Saccharomyces cerevisiae S288C: one gene and its partners. Changing the gene in region 3 together with the main gene of any one other region gives a genetic interaction. Each region holds a gene or a part of one and is shown on either strand. Other genes may lie near its edges. The genes, in order: EMW1, EFT1 and HGH1.

Evidence for each region.
Region 1: mutations in HGH1 (region 3) and EMW1 impair growth when combined (synthetic growth defect), as found in Saccharomyces cerevisiae (one study listed by BioGRID).
Region 2: mutations in HGH1 (region 3) and EFT1 impair growth when combined (synthetic growth defect), as found in Saccharomyces cerevisiae (2 studies listed by BioGRID, with this or other methods).

The regions. Positions count from the first base shown.
Region 1 is NC_001146.8:43,707-51,493, reverse strand, and holds EMW1 (tetratricopeptide repeat-containing protein EMW1), read left to right. Parts: upstream 1-3,471; coding exon 3,472-6,186; downstream 6,187-7,787. Other genes in the region: putative SCF ubiquitin ligase complex subunit SKP2, read left to right, coding at 1-2,097; RFA2 (Rfa2p), read right to left, coding at 2,278-3,092, 3,201-3,207; DAL82 (Dal82p), read right to left, coding at 6,280-7,047; ATP11 (Atp11p), read left to right, coding at 7,214-7,787. UniProt on the Saccharomyces cerevisiae protein: Required for the maintenance of the cell wall integrity.
Region 2 is NC_001147.6:573,541-580,948, forward strand, and holds EFT1 (elongation factor 2), read left to right. Parts: upstream 1-1,557; coding exon 1,558-4,086; downstream 4,087-7,408. Other genes in the region: retromer subunit VPS17, read left to right, coding at 1-1,290; GTPase-activating protein BAG7, read left to right, coding at 5,024-6,253; isocitrate dehydrogenase (NAD(+)) IDH2, read left to right, coding at 6,710-7,408. UniProt on the Saccharomyces cerevisiae protein: Catalyzes the GTP-dependent ribosomal translocation step during translation elongation.
Region 3 is NC_001139.9:868,004-872,935, reverse strand, and holds HGH1 (Hgh1p), read left to right. Parts: upstream 1-1,519; coding exon 1,520-2,704; downstream 2,705-4,932. Other genes in the region: protein kinase BUB1, read left to right, coding at 1-892; transcription factor IIF subunit TFG1, read right to left, coding at 2,955-4,932.

The DNA of each region.
Region 1 (7,787 bases), on a different chromosome or scaffold from region 3:
CTGTTAATACTGCGAACTTTGGACTTCAATACATTAGTAACACTATGCCAAGTCAATTCGAGGTTCTACAATTTGATTACGAATGAGTTCCTTTTCCAAAACGTTATTTTGGACTCAAAACTTTCGTTGTTAAAGTTCAATGCTTTGATACACTCCGAGTTCCACACGTCGAACATTGTCACACACAGCGGTGATTGTAGCACACAATCTAGATCACAAAATGCAAGGTTCCTCGTAAGATCCATCGAATTCAAAAATCCTCAGTCCCAAGACTCGTTGTTAAAATACAGTAAGTTCTATAATAAGAGTGGCCAAGATTCTATTATTGCTGGATCTTATAAACTCGATTCGTATGATAAAGACGTAAAAAAACTGAATAACATCAGACTAAACGATGAGACTCCCATCATAACTTCAGAACGAATCAAACTGCTTGATAAATTGGAAAGCAACTACTTCCATTATACTTATATTGAGCTAATGCTTGATATTATAGACTATCTACCGAACCTGACCAGAGTGATTCTGAGTGATGTGGAACCGAATTTTAAAATTCCTTTATGGTACTCTGTATTCAACGATGGATCTAGAGATTTTTTCAAGAAAATAATCAAGGGCCAGCAATCCATCACAAACGAAGATTTGAGGACTTTCCAACTATCCAAAAAATTTGTCAAAGAATACGAATCCAAGTATTATTCTCTGCCAAGGTTGAAAATACTGGAAATCAAAGCTAATAATAAAAGACAAAGAACCTTTAATCGTCAACGCCATCACCAAAAGCTCGTACTAAGACCGAGTTTATTCTGCTGTTTCGGCATAATTAATGAACTTAAACTAGAAAATGTAACGATAGACACCGAATCGCTAGATACTCCAATGGAATTCTTACCACTATTTCTAAAGAACGAAGATAATGAACTGTACAGTTTACAGTCTCCTATCACTGCACTTACTTTAGATTCATGTGATGTAGTTCCTGGAAATGGAATATTACGTTTGTTTCACTCTTACTTTAAAATGGTCAAACATCTATCCTTACTGAAGATTAACAGTAAATTCGACTTATTGTTATGCAGTTGTTTCCCATCGTTATCCAATCTAACAATTGATTGTAATAGCAAATGTTTCACTAACGAACAGGTAGTCGGCGAATCATATTATTTCCAACAGCGAAGTTTGGATACAGAAGATGATTTTGATGACTGCAATTCCATGACAGAAACATTATTTGAAGCGCCATCAGATTCGAAGATAATTACTCCTCCGCCGACATCTTCAGTTGTATTGTCCTTAAATCTGAACTATATTTCTAGAACTACAGGAAATGATGTTTCAAATAACCCATCACCAGACAATAACAAAAAGCCCGCCATGTTAACTGCGGCACAGCTACAAAATTTTCAACGACAAAGAATCCCTGAATTTCATTCTTTCTACCATTATTACCGCTTACTTTGGGAGAGACTTCCAAGTAAAAATATTTCTATTAACGTAATCAATATCCCCTTTACCAATGTGTATCCTTTATCCCCTCTATCGTTTTGGGAACATCTAGCAAGAACAATTACTAGTGTTGATGAGACAGATGAGGATGTTGGCGACGAGAACGATCAAGAAACATTAATCGGTTACGAAAATAATTCCATAAGAGATAACATACCAAATGCTAATGCAGTTCCAAATTTAAGTACAGTAATGAGCCCTGAATCAGACATTCACCACACTTACTATTGGAACAACTCTGTAAGGCGTTGCCTAAGAGATAGTTTAATCAAATTGAAGAACCGAACCATCGAATATAGAGATTTAGATGTGGAGGAGTTCTTACAAAATGTGACATTGGAAAATTTTTTCAATGATTTCCAAGATCCAGAGAATTTTAAAGATATTCCAAATATTAACCTCTGGTGTTTCCTGAGAAATTTGTCAAAATTCAAAGCTGTCAAAATAAGAATGCTGAGACATTTTTCATTATGTACACCTAGAACCAGATACGACTGGGAACTATTATTGAAGCCCGTACTGCGTGTAAATGTTCCCATTGAAGTCAGAGATAAGGACGGATTCGTTCTTTATTCTTACGGGCAAAAATAAATGACTTTTTGTAGTGGACTTTATATAGCATATTTATGCAACCAACTTAATATTCATGCATCTTACCCCTTCTTGGAACGGGTTCCATTTTCCACTCTATTTCCGGCAAATTTTGGTACTTACCTAGTAGAAATACACAAACGAATACTAAGAAATGCTAAAAAAATAATCTATATATTTTCATAGGGCAAAGAAGTTATTGTCATCAAAAGTTGGGTAGATAAAACCCTGGTCAGTCAAGGTCGTACAGCAGTTTCTGACGGTAGTTTCATCCAAATTCAAGGATTGCGAGATCAATGGAATGGGAACAGCGAATGAATTAGCGTCTTTGCCCTCACATTGCTTCTTACAAAATTCTAGAATTCTTTGTAACGGACTGGAGCCGGAAGATGTATCGTTATCATCCTTGACAAATAATGATTGCCCATTGTTGTTGGATGCACTCTCCAAAGGTTGTTTCATCATTCCACTGGCTATGGAATGACATTTGATGACTTCCAAGTGATGCGTCAACACTTCATTGAATGAATCTATGGGCTTAATCACCGCATACTGTATATTTTTCTTACCACCAAACTCTTTCAAAGCACCAAAAACTTTTACGTAACCGCCAATTTCAAATTGTTGGGCGACTTGCGAACCATAACCTTTACCAGAAGAGTCATCGTTACCGGCAGCCAAGTCATTTGCATCTTCGCTCCATTTTCTCACTTCTATTTGACCAGTTCCATCCTCAATAGTTAAAAAAATATTTGCAGTATGGTCTGTAATGTTTCTCACCACACCTACAAAACAAACGTGATGAAGTTCTTGGTTATGCGAAACGAAGGGGCCGTCCTGAATATCCTGTTTGGACTCTAGAATTTGTTTGATCGTCACAGGTGTCAAGGTGTTAACTCTAGTGTTAGTTTCCGACTCCCCACTACCTGGGCGGGACTCAGAGTTCTCAAAGCCACCGCCCGTTACTGATGAATATTCGTTATATGGTTGATAGGCTGTATTGGAATCCCATCCATTGTTAGTAATTTTAACATTCGCCAATAAAAATAAAAAAAATGATGCAGAAAAGAGCAAATCCTCCAATTCCTAGCACTAATACATACTTGCCATTATGTATATGCTTAAACTAGCCTGTTCTAGATAGTCGCTATCGATTTTGCCACATTACTTCCACCTTAAGTTGATATAATATTGCTTATTATAAAGGAAAGAACGCGTTTCCTAACGCGTTTCGTATATGGCGATAATTATCTAAGAAACTTCGCATCGTGAAAAAAAAGATGAAAATTGAAAATGGAAGCTCATCGAGGCCAAAGGAATTGCTAAAAAGAAGCTATCAGACCAGGCAAAAAGTAAACTAGTGGTTGCAAAATTATGGAGACGTTATTGCATGCAAAATTATTGCTGTCTGCAGAAGTAGAATCTCTGAAAAGTGGTTCTTTCGACCAGACATATGTGAAAAAGGCTGAACATATCATCAGTGGTGAATCATACCAGCTAGTACAGCAATTTGTGGACAAATTTAAGGGAAAAATTAGTATTTCGGGAGAAATATCCACATCTAGTGTTATTGCTGCTCTAAATGACTTTCTTAACGTTGAGGTTTTCAAAATGGGCCAAGAAAATGAGATGCTATTTTTGGCTATTGCCCTCTTACAGACCTTTATTCAAAATAACTACACCGGCCCAGCAGCTAGGTTGAAAGCAATCTCAGGTTTGTTTGGCAAAACTGGAATTGAAATAGGAGCAGTTAATACAGCCCTTTCCCGCTCATTAGCCATTATGGGCCAGCCTGCCTACGAATTTATGGATGATCCATTGTATTTGGTTTTATCACTATTATTACTTGAAAGGATAACCGGCCAAAAAAGCTTATTTGATGTTACCCCGGATCAAGAAATTCCGCTACCTATTATCTCTGCTGAGTCTACTCCTGGATTATTAGCTGTAGCTTATTGGTGGTGGGCAAGAGCTCTTTTGACGCAATTGTCACTGATTCCAGAACCTTCTGGGTTCCAAGCTAGTGTTGCATCTGCAATATATCAGTCTGCTGACCTTGCATATGCGATAACTAAGGAATTACCGGAGAGTATTCACGAAGATTTCAAAAGAGAACTTTGTGCAATGTACTATCTAGAGAATGTCAAATGTTCATTGGCCATCAACACAGAACATTTGTGCCTGCCATCCTTGACCAGAGCGAAAAAGATAACAAATTTTGAATTTGTAATGACGGGTGCACGCGCTACTAGAACTAAATATCAGCAAAAGGCTCATGCCGGTTTGATCATTCTTGCCAAATCCTTCACATTTCAAAATTTTGCTTTGAGAACGACATCTGCTACACCAGAAACATTTGCTTTAGAGTCCGATCTATTATTGGAGAAGCCTCATTTTGAGTCCATTGCTGATGAACCTCTAGACGAGCAAATTTATAGTAAAAGACAAAAGGTAGACCTAAATGAAGGTTATGAAGAAGATAAACTATTGCCATTGGCACTACGTCAAGAAAATATTCCAAAGTTGTTGCTGGATTTGAACCCTAACGATCAACCTACCCTATCTGATTACGACAACATCCAGTTGCTGTTACGTCTTTACACCATAAAGAACACAACTCCGGCCAAGGATCCTCTTGTGGAAGAAGAACTTACTGCTTTGCTTTCTAGAATATTATATCAAAACGGTGACAAAAATTGGTCTATTTTCGCCCGATCATTATGGGAAAGGTCAATTATTGAGACAACAAAGGCTAAAACTATTGAAAGAGGACTTTTACAAATGCAATCCCTCGTAGAAGAATTGGATTTGAAGATTAAGAGTAAATTGGTTCCAAGTTCAAGCGAAATCAATGTTGCTAGCAGGCTGTCATACATCCACCAGCTGCCGTTCATCCCTAGGTGGCAATTGGATGCCACCTTAGCTGAAAAATATATGTCGCTGGGTATTTTGAAGTCCGCTGTGGAAATTTATGAAAGACTTGGTATGGCATGCGAGACTGCATTATGTTATGCCGCTGTTGGAGATGAAAAAAAGGCAGAAGAAATCCTTCTTCAAAGAATAAATGAAAATGATTCGGATGCCAGGGCTTACTCCATTTTGGGTGATATAAAACAGGATCCATCCCTATGGGAAAAAAGTTGGGAGATTGGAAAATACGTCAACGCAAAAAATTCCCTTGCAAAGTATTACTTTAATCCTCCTCCAAAGTCTGGAGCACAACCAAATTACTCTGCTACCTTGAAACATTTAAATGACTCGTTAAGGCAATACCCATTAAGCTTTGAAACGTGGTATTTTTATGGTTGCGTTGGATTACAATGTGGTAAAATGCAGATAGCTGCGGAGGCATTTACCAGATGTGTTTCATTAGACCCTTATCATGCTCTTTCATGGTCAAATTTGAGCGCTGCATATACGAAAATGGATAAATTGAAAGAAGCTTATAGTTGTTTGAAAAGAGCCATTTCATGTGACGCTCAAAAGAACTGGAAAATTTGGGAGAATTACATGCTTGTTGCTGTTAAGTTGAATGAGTGGGAGGATGTCTTAACTGCATGTAAACAATTAGTCAGTATTAGGAGGGACAAATCTGGCGAAGGTTCCATCGACTTACCAATTATTGAAAAACTAGTAGAACTATTAGTGACTAGTGAATATCCAGAGGAGCCGCAGCAATTATCTTATTTTCAAAAGAGCTGTACTGAGTTTATCTGTAACACTTTACCTCAGGTAATTACAACCAGTGCAAGATGTTGGCGACTGGTCGCAAGAGTAGAACTTTGGAGGAAGAGACCATGGGCCGCCCTAGAATGCCACGAGAAGGCTTATAGGGCCATTTCTCACAATCCTGATTTAGAAGTTGAAGAAAAGGTTTGGAATGATACAGTGGATGCTTGTGAAGATTTGGTGGCTGCCTATGAATCACTTGGTGAAATGGAAGGTAAATATGGGCCAGGCAGTCTGGTTTGCAAAGACTGGAAATACAAATGTAGATCTACTATCAAAGCTCTAATGAGTAAAGGCAAAGGCAGATGGGATGACTCTCCTGGTTGGGATAGGCTAGTGGAAGCAAGAAGCCAAATATGAAGAGCACCTTTCATGTATAATCTGTGTATATTACGTAATGTTTGTATAAATAGATACATATGGACATGAATCAAGCATATCTAATAGAAGTTTTTATATTTTATCTCCTTGGCTGGGTGGTCTCATCTGTGAAAGGAGAGCCTCAATTATGTTGAGCTTGTTTAAAACTTTACACTCAAAATCTTCTTGCCTTTTCTTTATCACCTCGAGTTCGTTGTGAAGATAATCTAGACATATTTCCAATTCCATATTAGAGTCCGACCACGATTGCTCAGCAGCCATTTGTGGAGGCAGTACTGTCTCGCTGAACCTATTTGTACCCTTGTTTATCTTAGGGCTTTTGATGACTTTCCCGACGTCGTTATCCTTAGACAGAATCATGGGGATTGTGTGAAGAGTAGGCGGAATTCCAATCGTTATTGAATCCAGGGGCAGCGGTTGTGAGCCTGAATGCTCATCGTCGGAGCTGTGGTTATTCGGATGTTCAGCGGATGATAATTGTTGAAACGGATCAGGCCCCGGATGACTTTTAATGAAAGAAGATGATGATAAGGATGAAGATGATTCATTTCCGAATTTAGTTCTTGGTCTTGGATGTTCTGGTGCTTCGTCCAAGAGTGCTCCCATCAGCTTCAACTGGGAAGGAGAGAATTGGGCTCGATCTGCGCTGAAGAGGTCCTTCAGTCGACGAAATTTGGTTTTTAACGTCCTTGATTGTCTATATCTTGACCCAGTCTGTCTGTTGTACTCATCGAGCACCCTTTGCCAGCTATCTTGTCTGTAGGCATATGGTTTCAGATGAGGTTTGTGCCGTATCAGTAGTCGTAGAAGCAGCTCCACAGGATCCACCGATTCATCCATTATGGTTGGCTCCGCCTAAACCTTTCAAAGTATCGTTAAACCATGTTGTTATCAATGGTTCAACTCACCCGAATGGAAATAACGCTTATTTTGACGCCGTAATCGAAGGATGTGAAGAACTTATCAAGACTTGAAAATAGAGAACAAAAGAGATTTAAGAATAACTATGTGGAGACTAACCAGAAAAATCGGCACTAGAATCCATATTTCTAATCAGCTGTCGCCCATTTTTAACAAGGCAATTGGAACAGTTCCTGTTTTTCGTTTTTATTCTTCCAGCCCAGAGCAGAAGTATAGAAAGAAACTTTTGGAAGAGGCTCAAAAACAAGGTTTTAACAGCATAGAAGAGTTGAAAAATCATTTGAAAGAGACTATAGAGTCTAAGAAGCGGGAATTTAATAAAATCGACCCCCTGAAAGAACTAGAGGATTACCAACAAAAAACTCAAATGGAAAATAACAACTCCAAGCATTTGATGACGAAATCAAGAAGTCCTCTCGATCCAAGTGCTCCTAAAGTTCCCTTCAAAACATTGGACTCTTTTTTGGATGTTGGAAAACTGAAGGACTTATCGAAACAGGAAGTAGAGTTTCTTTGGAGAGCAAGATGGGCACAAAAAGATAATACATTATGCGCTGTGATTCCTGTCTCCGTTTATGATAAGATGATGGCAAATGCCAGGAATAACCCTATATTCGTGTTGCCACTTCCTAGACAAGTTCAATCTGAGGATGCAAAAC
Region 2 (7,408 bases), on a different chromosome or scaffold from region 3:
GGTAAGAAAGAGAATCCGACTATTATATTTGATTGCTCCACAAATTTGCCAACATTTCGCAAACAACAATACAAGAATGTCAAAAAATCATACGAAGAATTCCACCAATTGTTCAAATATCTGAATGTTGCCATTCAGGAATCTTTTGTTCCTACTCTTCCCTCTGCGTATACTACATTCGGAATTAATAGCGAAGAAGATAGGATGAAAGTAACGCGAAATTTCCAACTTTGGTTTAACAGGCTATCGCAAGACCCCTTAATTATTCGGAATGAAGAAGTGGCCTTTTTCATTGAAAGTGACTTTAATACGTACACACCCATCAACAAGTCCAAATCACTCGCATCTGGGTTGAAAAGAAAAACATTGAAACAATTAGCACCTCCATATGATGAAATCACAGAATTAGCAGAATTCCGGCCATTAGTCAAGTCTATATATGTTGTTTCTCAGAGCTTGCAAGAAAAACTGCTAAGAGTTTCCAGAAATCGCAAGATGATGGTTCAAGAAGAAAATGCCTTCGGCCAGGATTTCGTTAATCTAGATGAGCACAATAAACTTTACAGAAGATACGGTAAAATATTGACTGCTGTGGGTGATATTGATAGCATTATAGCAACCATGGACATGGCGACATTGTACGATGGTTTAGAGTGGATTGTCAGAGATGCTTATGCCGTGAAGGAAGCATTGACCAACAGGCATTTTATCATGCGAAATCTAGTACAGGCACAGCAGAATTCAAAGGCGAAACAGGAACAAGCACGCAGGTTCCGGTCAAGAAGAGATATTAACCCTATGAAAATCGATGAAGCACTACGTCAGTTGAAAGCTGCAGCTAAAAACGAACAAGTTTTGACCCTTAAGCTTCAACGAATCACGTCCAACATGATTATCGAGAGAAAACAGTGGATTAGCTGGTATGAAGAATGGATAAGAAGCTCGATCAAAGAATTTACACTAAGAAAGATAGAGTATGAAAGAAAGAAGCTGACGTTACTAGAACGAGTACGTTCTGATATCAGAAAAGCTGATGAAAACGGAGGTTTGTCACGTCTAGGACGCCATGCTGTCTCAAACAACAACTCCGATACTTCTCAAACCCTTAAAGGGGACAGTTGGACGGGAGAGAGCAACCGCAAAAGTCAAATCCCCATCAACAAGATCGCTCATACCGAATTTGATGATGAACTATTCACTGAAGACGATGGGTACAACTCTCAGGACTCAGACACTACATCACTGAATGCGCGCCATGCTGCTTCACTTTTGGGCATGTCCACTAAATAATACGTATATAAAGTAGAAAATTCATACCTTTGAACAAGGTGATCTTTTTCCTTTAGTTGATATTAATCCCGGGTAAACTTCCGTGTTGCACTTTTAAAATTTTTTTTCAAATCTCACCTAGAAAATTTTTTTTTGCCATGAGCCTTCCTTTAATTAATCTCAATTGCATACTACTGTTGTATTAAACGCTTCACTGGTTTTTTTACTTAACCCCATTTGCCAGAAAGCCAGACCTACGCACCCAAGAATTTTTAATAACAGATAAAAATGGTTGCTTTCACTGTTGACCAAATGCGTTCTTTAATGGACAAAGTTACCAATGTGCGTAACATGTCCGTTATTGCTCACGTCGATCATGGTAAGTCCACTTTGACCGATTCCTTGGTCCAAAGAGCCGGTATTATTTCCGCTGCTAAGGCTGGTGAAGCTCGTTTCACCGATACCAGAAAGGATGAACAAGAAAGAGGTATCACTATCAAGTCTACCGCTATTTCTCTATACTCTGAAATGTCTGACGAAGATGTCAAGGAAATCAAGCAAAAGACCGACGGTAACTCCTTCTTGATCAACTTGATCGACTCTCCAGGTCACGTTGACTTCTCCTCTGAAGTTACTGCCGCTTTACGTGTCACTGACGGTGCTTTGGTTGTCGTCGACACCATTGAAGGTGTCTGTGTCCAAACCGAAACTGTTTTGAGACAAGCTTTGGGTGAAAGAATCAAGCCTGTTGTTGTTATCAACAAGGTCGACAGAGCTTTGTTGGAATTGCAAGTTTCTAAGGAAGATTTATACCAAACCTTTGCCAGAACTGTTGAATCCGTTAACGTCATCGTTTCCACCTACGCCGATGAAGTTTTGGGTGATGTCCAAGTTTACCCAGCCAGAGGTACCGTTGCCTTCGGTTCCGGTTTGCACGGTTGGGCTTTCACTATCCGTCAATTCGCCACCAGATATGCTAAGAAATTCGGTGTCGACAAGGCCAAGATGATGGACAGATTATGGGGTGACTCTTTCTTCAACCCAAAGACCAAGAAGTGGACCAACAAGGACACTGATGCTGAAGGTAAGCCATTGGAAAGAGCTTTCAACATGTTCATCTTGGACCCAATCTTCAGATTATTCACTGCTATCATGAACTTCAAGAAAGACGAAATTCCAGTTTTGCTAGAAAAGTTGGAAATTGTCTTGAAGGGTGACGAAAAGGACTTGGAAGGTAAGGCCTTGTTGAAGGTTGTTATGAGAAAGTTCTTGCCAGCTGCCGATGCCTTATTGGAAATGATTGTCTTGCACTTGCCATCTCCAGTCACTGCTCAAGCCTACAGAGCTGAACAATTATACGAAGGTCCAGCTGACGATGCCAACTGTATTGCTATCAAGAACTGTGATCCAAAGGCTGATTTGATGTTGTACGTCTCCAAGATGGTGCCAACCTCTGATAAGGGTAGATTCTACGCCTTCGGTAGAGTTTTTGCCGGTACTGTTAAGTCCGGTCAAAAGGTCAGAATCCAAGGTCCAAACTACGTTCCAGGTAAGAAGGACGATTTGTTCATCAAGGCCATTCAAAGAGTTGTTTTGATGATGGGTAGATTTGTCGAACCAATCGATGACTGTCCAGCCGGTAACATTATCGGTTTAGTCGGTATCGATCAATTCTTGTTGAAGACTGGTACTTTGACCACCAGTGAAACTGCTCACAACATGAAGGTCATGAAATTCTCTGTCTCTCCAGTTGTGCAAGTCGCTGTCGAAGTCAAGAACGCTAACGACTTACCAAAATTGGTCGAAGGTTTGAAGAGATTGTCCAAGTCTGATCCATGTGTCTTGACCTATATGTCTGAATCCGGTGAACATATCGTTGCTGGTACCGGTGAATTGCATTTGGAAATTTGTTTGCAAGATTTGGAACACGACCACGCTGGTGTTCCATTGAAGATCTCCCCACCAGTTGTCGCTTACAGAGAAACTGTTGAAAGTGAATCTTCTCAAACTGCTTTGTCCAAGTCTCCAAACAAGCATAACAGAATCTACTTGAAGGCTGAACCAATTGACGAAGAAGTCTCTTTGGCTATTGAAAACGGTATCATCAACCCAAGAGATGATTTCAAGGCCAGAGCTAGAATCATGGCTGACGACTACGGTTGGGATGTCACCGATGCCAGAAAGATCTGGTGTTTCGGTCCAGACGGTAACGGTCCAAACTTGGTTATTGACCAAACTAAGGCTGTCCAATACTTGCACGAAATCAAGGATTCCGTTGTTGCTGCTTTCCAATGGGCTACCAAGGAAGGTCCAATTTTCGGTGAAGAAATGAGATCTGTCAGAGTTAACATTTTGGATGTTACTTTACATGCCGATGCTATCCACAGAGGTGGTGGTCAAATCATCCCAACCATGAGAAGAGCTACTTACGCCGGTTTCTTGTTGGCTGATCCAAAGATCCAAGAACCAGTTTTCTTGGTCGAAATTCAATGTCCAGAACAAGCCGTCGGTGGTATCTACTCCGTCTTAAACAAGAAGAGAGGTCAAGTCGTTTCTGAAGAACAAAGACCAGGTACTCCATTGTTTACCGTCAAGGCCTACTTGCCAGTTAACGAATCTTTCGGTTTCACTGGTGAATTGAGACAAGCTACCGGTGGTCAAGCTTTCCCACAAATGGTTTTCGACCATTGGTCCACTTTAGGTTCTGACCCATTGGACCCAACCTCTAAGGCTGGTGAAATTGTTCTTGCTGCTCGTAAGAGACACGGTATGAAGGAAGAAGTTCCAGGCTGGCAAGAATATTACGACAAATTGTAAGAAGTCTAAATGAGAAAAGGTGGTTCTGTAAGAGCAAACCTTACCGCCTTATGATCTTTTTCATTTATTCTCTGCTTTAAAATTTTGTCGTAATAAAAATAGTATGGTAATAGACTTATATATTATTTTCTTACACATTTTTGTCATATAGTTATATTCCGAATGTTTACAATCGAACCCATCATAAAAATGGACCTTTTCGTATTACCGCCCCCTTTGTAGAGGGGGAGGAACGGCAACTTCTTGACTATTACGACGTATCACCACCCCGTTAGATATACTATGGAAAAAACTATTAAAAACCATTATAATTCATTAATGACATCGGTCCTGAGGTAGTATTACGTATAACTTACCTGGCTCTTGGTCATAGCTTTTTATCCGTTTACGAAAAAAGGAGAAGAAGATTGGGCTTCCGCGGCTATTGTTTGGTTTATACCCCGCCGTATGTTGGTGCTTCTATAATTAGAGCGAAATAGGAAATACAAAAAATCCTTGGAGGGGAGGACCAGCCTCATCGGGCTAAAACTCCCTCAAAACCGGAGGGGCAACCAAAGTATATATCTCATTATGGCCGATACTTCTAGAGGCGCACTAACAGAAGCACCTCAGCCCCTGCAGGTGAAAGAAAGAGGTAATTAATTTTCCGGTTACTTACTTTCTCTCGCTATTGGGGAAAGCGTTGGTTCGAGGCGTTGAGGTCGAAGACAATCATTGTTTTCTTCTTATTTAAGTACATCTTTAGAAGAAAATTACACAACTGGAATGAGTAAATCAATACTTGCTTTGTGTTCCCATTGTTAGATACTCTTGTTTTAGCATGTGATAGCAGTATATAATATAACCTGCAAAATAATCGAAACGCGTACACAGGAAAGAGTACATAAATAACCATAGTATATTTCTGGACATATCTTATTACACAACATAAAATAGAATGTTTAACATGAATCTACTTTCTACACCTTCTTCTGAAGAGGGTTCTCCACAGAATAGGTCATCTTCAATGTCTTCTGTTGAGGGCAAGAAGGATAGGGACACCTTTACTAATTTGCAAAACGAATTTGATGGTAAAGTATTTGGCGTCTCACTCGAGGAATCACTGAAAGTTGCTCAAGAGGAAGTAATTATCCAAAAAAGTACAAATGAAATTGGTTCCATACCGGTGGTAATAGCAAAAAGTGGGAAATACCTAAAAGAGAATGCATTAGACACAACAGGAATTTTCCGTATTGCGGGAAGCAATAAACGTGTTAGAGAGCTACAAGCTGTTTTCTCTAAACCGCCCGATTATGGTCGTAAATTTGAAGGATGGTGTGATTTCAATGTTCATGACATTGCAACTTTATTAAAAAGATATTTGAACTCATTAAGTGAGCCTTTGGTTCCCCTAGCATTATACGACATTTTTAGAAATCCAATATTAGAAAACCCAAAAATAAATGAGCACAAAGAACAAATCATTAAGGACTACGAAGATATTTATATGCTCTTACCACAACAAAATCGCCATTTAATACTTTATTTAGCCGCGCTCTTGAATTTATTTGCAAGAAATGAAAAGAAGAATTTAATGTCAGCAAGCAATTTAGCGGCCATCGTACAACCCTCACTTTTGTCTCATCCCAAGGATGAAATGTGCCCGAAAGAGTATGAGGCTTCCAGAACTGTCATCGAATTCCTCATACTACACGCTTCAGATATAATACCGAATACGGAAAAAGCGAATAAGGACACCATGCCGCATGCAGGAACAGTAGCAAAGTTTAACAACATTACCGTTCCTGAAATGGCTATTGACTCCGATGAAGAAGATTTTGTGCACCCTTCAATAGATGACCATATGCTTCCAAGGTCACGTGCACTTTCTGACTCCAACAATTTTACCATACATCATCATCATCATCATCATCATGCACTGTTTCCTAGCCCAATAGATTTTGATAACAATGGGCTTTCTGTACCGAGATCCTTTAAAGGTAGAACATTGAGTGCAGAGTCCCTTTCTCCCAGACTTAGTAAATTACTTGGGAACGTTGGAAACAGCAGCAATACTGGCATCAAAGACCCTACAGAAAGAGTTCCTAGAGGTGAACATAAAACCAAACACAAACAACGACAGTCATGGTTGAGAAGACTCACTAGCCCTTCTAGAACGCAGCCTTAGCTTCCTAAGCACTGTGATCTGCTAGTCGATTCCGAGGTTCGGCGAAGAAATTGTCGTTGCCCCGCCAGGGGCCTTTTGCGATACTCGGCGCTTCTTTCAGCAATCTCGGTCCGCATCTCGGCAAGGGGGGGCATGACACGGGCCGCTCTGGTTGGTCAGTTCCTATTTTCTGTAACTTCCATTGTTTGGTTAAAGAATATATAAGTTATTGAAAAGCTCATAGGTCCCTTATTATAGGCCCTAAGGTTTTAGTTTCTCATCATAGTCATATCAGAAAAACCCTCCTTCTAAAGTTTTCCTCTTTTCTTATTTCTTTTTCATTTATTATTCATATTTATATAAATATATATTCCAAGTGCATGACATTATTGGATACACTTTTTCTGAACCTGAATTACCTTGGTAGATAATAAGATACAGATCGGGAACGAACAACAATTATAATATTTTTTAATAATGTTGAGAAATACTTTTTTTAGAAACACCTCGAGGAGGTTTTTGGCTACTGTAAAGCAACCTTCAATCGGAAGATATACCGGCAAACCTAACCCTTCTACCGGCAAATACACGGTCTCGTTCATTGAAGGTGATGGTATCGGACCTGAAATTTCCAAGTCTGTAAAGAAAATCTTTAGTGCAGCAAACGTCCCCATAGAATGGGAATCTTGTGATGTTAGCCCTATCTTTGTCAACGGATTAACGACCATTCCTGACCCTGCCGTACAATCTATCACAAAAAACCTGGTTGCACTAAAAGGTCCACTAGCTACACCTATTGGTAAAGGTCACAGATCTTTGAATTTGACATTGAGAAAAACATTTGGGTTATTTGCCAACGTTCGTCCCGCAAAGTCTATTGAAGGTTTTAAGACCACTTACGAAAACGTTGATTTAGTTCTTATCAGAGAGAATACCGAAGGTGAATATTCTGGTATCGAACACATAGTTTGCCCTGGCGTTGTTCAATCTATTAAACTGATCACAAGAGATGCCTCTGAGCGAGTCATTAGATACGCTTTTGAATATGCAAGAGCCATCGGCAGACCAAGAGTTATTGTGGTACATAAATCTACTATCCAGAGATTAGCTGATGGTTTATTCGTTAATGTTGCCAAAGAACTATCCAAAGAGTATCCTGACCTTACTTTAGAAACT
Region 3 (4,932 bases):
TCAAGGACATCTGCGAGCGTTGAAAGTAGAAAAACCTGCAAGTGTATGGGAATATTACATAATGAGCCAAGTGGAGTTTAGGTTGAGGAAGAGCACAATATTAAAGTCAATAATCAACGCTAGTGCTTTACACTTGTTCCTTGATGAGAGCTACCTTGTTTTAAACTACGCCAGTCAAGGTACGGTCTTGGATTTAATTAATTTACAACGGGAAAAGGCAATTGACGGCAACGGAATAATGGATGAATATTTGTGCATGTTTATCACTGTCGAGCTAATGAAAGTACTTGAAAAGATACATGAAGTGGGAATAATACATGGCGATTTGAAACCAGATAACTGCATGATCAGATTAGAAAAACCAGGCGAACCCCTGGGTGCTCATTATATGCGCAATGGAGAGGATGGCTGGGAAAACAAGGGAATCTATTTAATAGATTTCGGTAGATCATTTGATATGACACTGTTACCACCTGGAACGAAATTCAAATCAAATTGGAAGGCTGATCAGCAAGATTGCTGGGAAATGCGTGCGGGCAAGCCATGGAGTTATGAAGCGGATTATTATGGATTAGCAGGCGTCATACATTCGATGCTTTTTGGAAAATTCATAGAAACAATCCAGCTGCAGAATGGACGATGCAAATTGAAGAACCCATTCAAAAGGTATTGGAAAAAAGAAATATGGGGCGTTATATTTGATTTACTGTTAAATAGCGGTCAAGCTTCCAATCAAGCTTTGCCGATGACTGAAAAGATTGTTGAAATAAGGAATTTGATAGAAAGCCATCTGGAACAGCACGCAGAAAATCACTTAAGAAACGTAATTCTAAGCATTGAAGAGGAGTTATCACATTTTCAATATAAGGGGAAACCGTCAAGGAGATTTTAGTGAATAAATATGCCTTCATCTCCCGCATAGGTGACTTTTTGGTGTCCTGCCAGATTCCATAGCAATGACAACACAACTTCAGGTAGAGCCAATTGTAACATTAATATATAAAAGGTAATATAAAACTAGCAGGTTCTCAGGTTGAGTAAATATATTCTTTTTTAATCTTGACATCTGTCACTTATGGAAAAACAAGTACCAAAAAAATGGCGATAATGTTATGATATTATTTTACTGAAGCTCTTCATACATCGAGTATGTAGCAATTGCTCCACTTGTTACCGCGAAAACTAACAAGAATAAAAAATAGATGTCTTGATTCGCAATTCGCAGTATATTTCATCTAATAGCTGCAGAGCCAATTGGGATGTTACTGGTAGTGCTACCTTTCGATGTGTTCTGTTATCACCCCAGACGATAATTATTATTGTAGATTTTTCCCTATTCTTCCTCGAAGGGCTTTTTCAAATTTTTTTTTTTTTCATTTTTTCATATTGAGCTCTCTCATCTCATCCATCAATTTATGACGCACCTACTCTAATAACGACAAGTTTATTCTTCTTAAAACGGTATCAATTTAATTTAAAAATTAAAAATAGCTCAAAAAAATCAACAAAAAATTGAGTGATGACTTCACAATTGAATGAATTAGTGGAATTTCTGCATTCACCACAACCTGCCGTAAGACAGATTGCCATTGATAATCTAGTTGGATTTAGTGCTGGTCCCACTTCAAAAGTTTTCAAAAATGATAGCTACAGACCCATTAAGGATATAATAAAAATGATCATGGATCCAGAACACGGCACCCGTGTTATTATTCAGCAAGGTGTCACTATATTGGTCAATTTATCTGAAGACAAGTTAGTAAGAAATATTATATTGAGCGATGACAAGAAGTTCTTAAAATTTTTGGTTTGGAAAATTGTCGATTTAACCAATCCAAATGCCGATATAATGTGTATCTTATTAAGCAACTTAGCCAAGGATGACGGCATTCTTGCTGTTCTGAATATCAAAAGGAATTCAAGCGGTGAGGAGGTCGATGATGGTTTGAAGTTAGCAGCTTTAAATAAAGAAGTTTTCAAAAGTTTGAGAGCCATGGATTGTTTAATGGATTGCTTTGTTAAGGGTTATGATAAAAAATTAACAAAATATGCCAGTTTCAATTATTTAGCCTTTTTTTTTGCGGATATCTCGAGGTTTAAATTGGGCAGGATGTATTTTATTGAAGAGCAGGAATACGATGGGGTTGTTCCTATTTCAAAATTGCTAGTATTTACCGAAAAATATGATGCAAAGGTAAGAAGAGAAGGTGTCGCTTCCACAATTAAAAATTCCCTATTTGATTCTGAAACTCATGAAAGGTTACTCAAAGATGAAAAAATAAACTTGTTGCCTTACATCCTGCTACCTATTGCTAGTGCTAAAGATTCTGAAATTGATGAGGAAGATATGTTCAATTTACCAGATGAACTTCAATTATTACCAGAGGACAAGGAAAGAGACCCGATTCCTGCAATTATATGCTGTCATTTAGAAAGTATTCTTTTGCTATGTACAACGCATGCTGGAAGAGAATACTTAAGAGACAAGTCCGTTTATCCACTAGTGAGGGAGCTGCATAAAAACGTTGAGAATGAAGATATTGGTGAATTATGTTACAGAATTGTTAATATGTTAATGAGAGGCGAGCCAGGTGCGGGAGCAGTGGAAGAGATGCCATCAAAGAATGCGGAAGAGGAAGAAGAGGAGGAGAGTGAAGAAGAAGAAGATGACGACGAAGAAGATGAAATTGTCGAAGTGGCCTAGGTCACTTTCAAGGACAGTTCACATAGCATAGAATTGTATAATACAGAAATAACAATATATTAGAGTTTAGTAGAATTCTGAGTCTTTTCTCAAAAAAAAGGCAGAAAAAAAGACTAGATAAAAAAGTATACTTACTGCAACTAAAATGACAGTATAATGTAACTACATAAGATTAAATGGAAAGAAAAAGGAAAGAATGAAAAGAACGAAAACTAAATAACCTATTAAGTACATAACATTATAAACTAACCTACTCTTTCTTTAATTCCATGTGGTCATTGCCAACCTTTCGACACAATTTTTTTACAATGGCAAACATTAGCTTTTTATTCTCTGCGCCAGGATATTTTCTTCTGATGAACTTTCCAAACTCTTTGATATTGACTTTGCCATCACCAATAGCCTCGATGATATCTTTTTCTGTTATTGTAGGCGCTGGAGTTTCTTCCCTTTCTGCCACTGTAGAATTCAAGCCTTCCTCTTGTTTGATTGGCGAAGGCACTGTATTCGATGCATTATTACTACTATCTACAGCTTTTGTCGTCTGTGGATTCCATTCTCCCTCTGGGAAGCTTTTCAGTATTTTCTTATCCCCCTTCAAGATAATGACACAGTTTTTAATACTTTTCACCCTCAAAGTTGGCTCTTTATGCACATGCGCATTTGTAGCTTTCTTTTGCTGTTTCTTTGGAGAAGATCTCTTGGATTTGGATAGAGTGTCCGAATCTTCTTCCTTTTTAACGGGCGATTCATTCTCTTTGTTTTCAATATCGGATTCAGATAAGTATGGGTTGATCTCATTTTCATCCGATGAGTATAGTGCTGCAAGTTCTGTCTTTTGTAATGCCTTCTTAATTCTTTCACCATCCTCATCAATCTTCTTTTCCCCAAATAACTCATCTTCTTCGTTTTCGGAAGGAGCTTCTTCATCACGAAGCCCCATCGCATTAGCTTGCAGCATCTCCTTCTTGATTCTTTGTTCTGATTCTTTATTTTCTTGTTCATTACCATCTATAATAGGTGCCTCCTCATCATCGGCAAACTCTTCATCATAATCTAACTCTACTTCTGAATTGTCATCACGATCATCTTCATCCATAGCTTGTTGATCAGCGACGGCTTTAAGCTTTCTTCTTGTTCTGTCATATCTAGTTGTAGTTGTACCTATATTATCCAAATGCTTCATCAACCAACGTGGCACTTCACCACTTTTTTTGTCCATTCTTTTTTCTGCTTCGTCAATGGTCAAAGTAGCATATTTATTTCTTGCGGTAAACTTATAAACCTTATCAGCAGGAATCATGGTAAAACTTCCATCATCTTCTACACTTAACAAGACATAAGAATCTGAGTTACCTGCTTCATAAGAACCCACCCATGTATTGTACCCATCAAAATCTTCCATAACCCATGGATAAAATTCCTCAAATCTCAGCTTTTTGGCGTTCTCATCAAGAACTTTTAATTGACGAGTTTTCCTTCTCAAATTTCCTCGTTTGGCCCTACCGCCTCCATCTGGTGCCACATCTGCTAGTGGATCCATAGTTCCTTCTTCAAATTCCGGTTCGTTAGTCACTTCTTTTCCGTCGTACTTGACCATTCCAACTTTAGTAGGGTCTTCAGCTGGGCCTGCATCCTCTAGTTTTGTCACTAACGGCCTTCCGTTAGCTAGATTCGCTGTAGATGCATTGCCATCCAAACCGTTAGCTGCACTAGTTGAACCATTTGACAGTCCATTACTTTCAACGGCGGATACAGTAGTAGGACTAGCAGGAGGGACAGAAGAGCCAGTTACAGTAGGAATGGAGGAGTTCACACCGTTGGCCGTGTTGTCTTTAGTAACTGAATCAACAGTAGGTGTCTGAGACCCATCTTTAACAGTATTATTGAGCGAGACCGTTCCTGATTTATTCATACCACCCGAGTTAGGAGTACTTCTTTCTTGCTCTGCTTTTTTTTTATACTCAGAAATTTCTTTTTGCCTTTGAACAATTTCTGCTCTTGTTAGCTGAAACTGCAAGTTTCTCGTATCCTTCCTATGCAGTCTTACGGGAAGATGGAAGTCTGTTACAGGGTTTATCTTTTTTTTACTCTGAAACTTCAAAAGATGTGTCCTCATGTTTTCTAAATCCTCCTTTGGAATAGCTCTTAAGGGAAATTCATTATATTCATTAGGATCTTCGTCCTTTACTTTAACATTGCTCCTGCCAGCATCGGCCTCGACACCG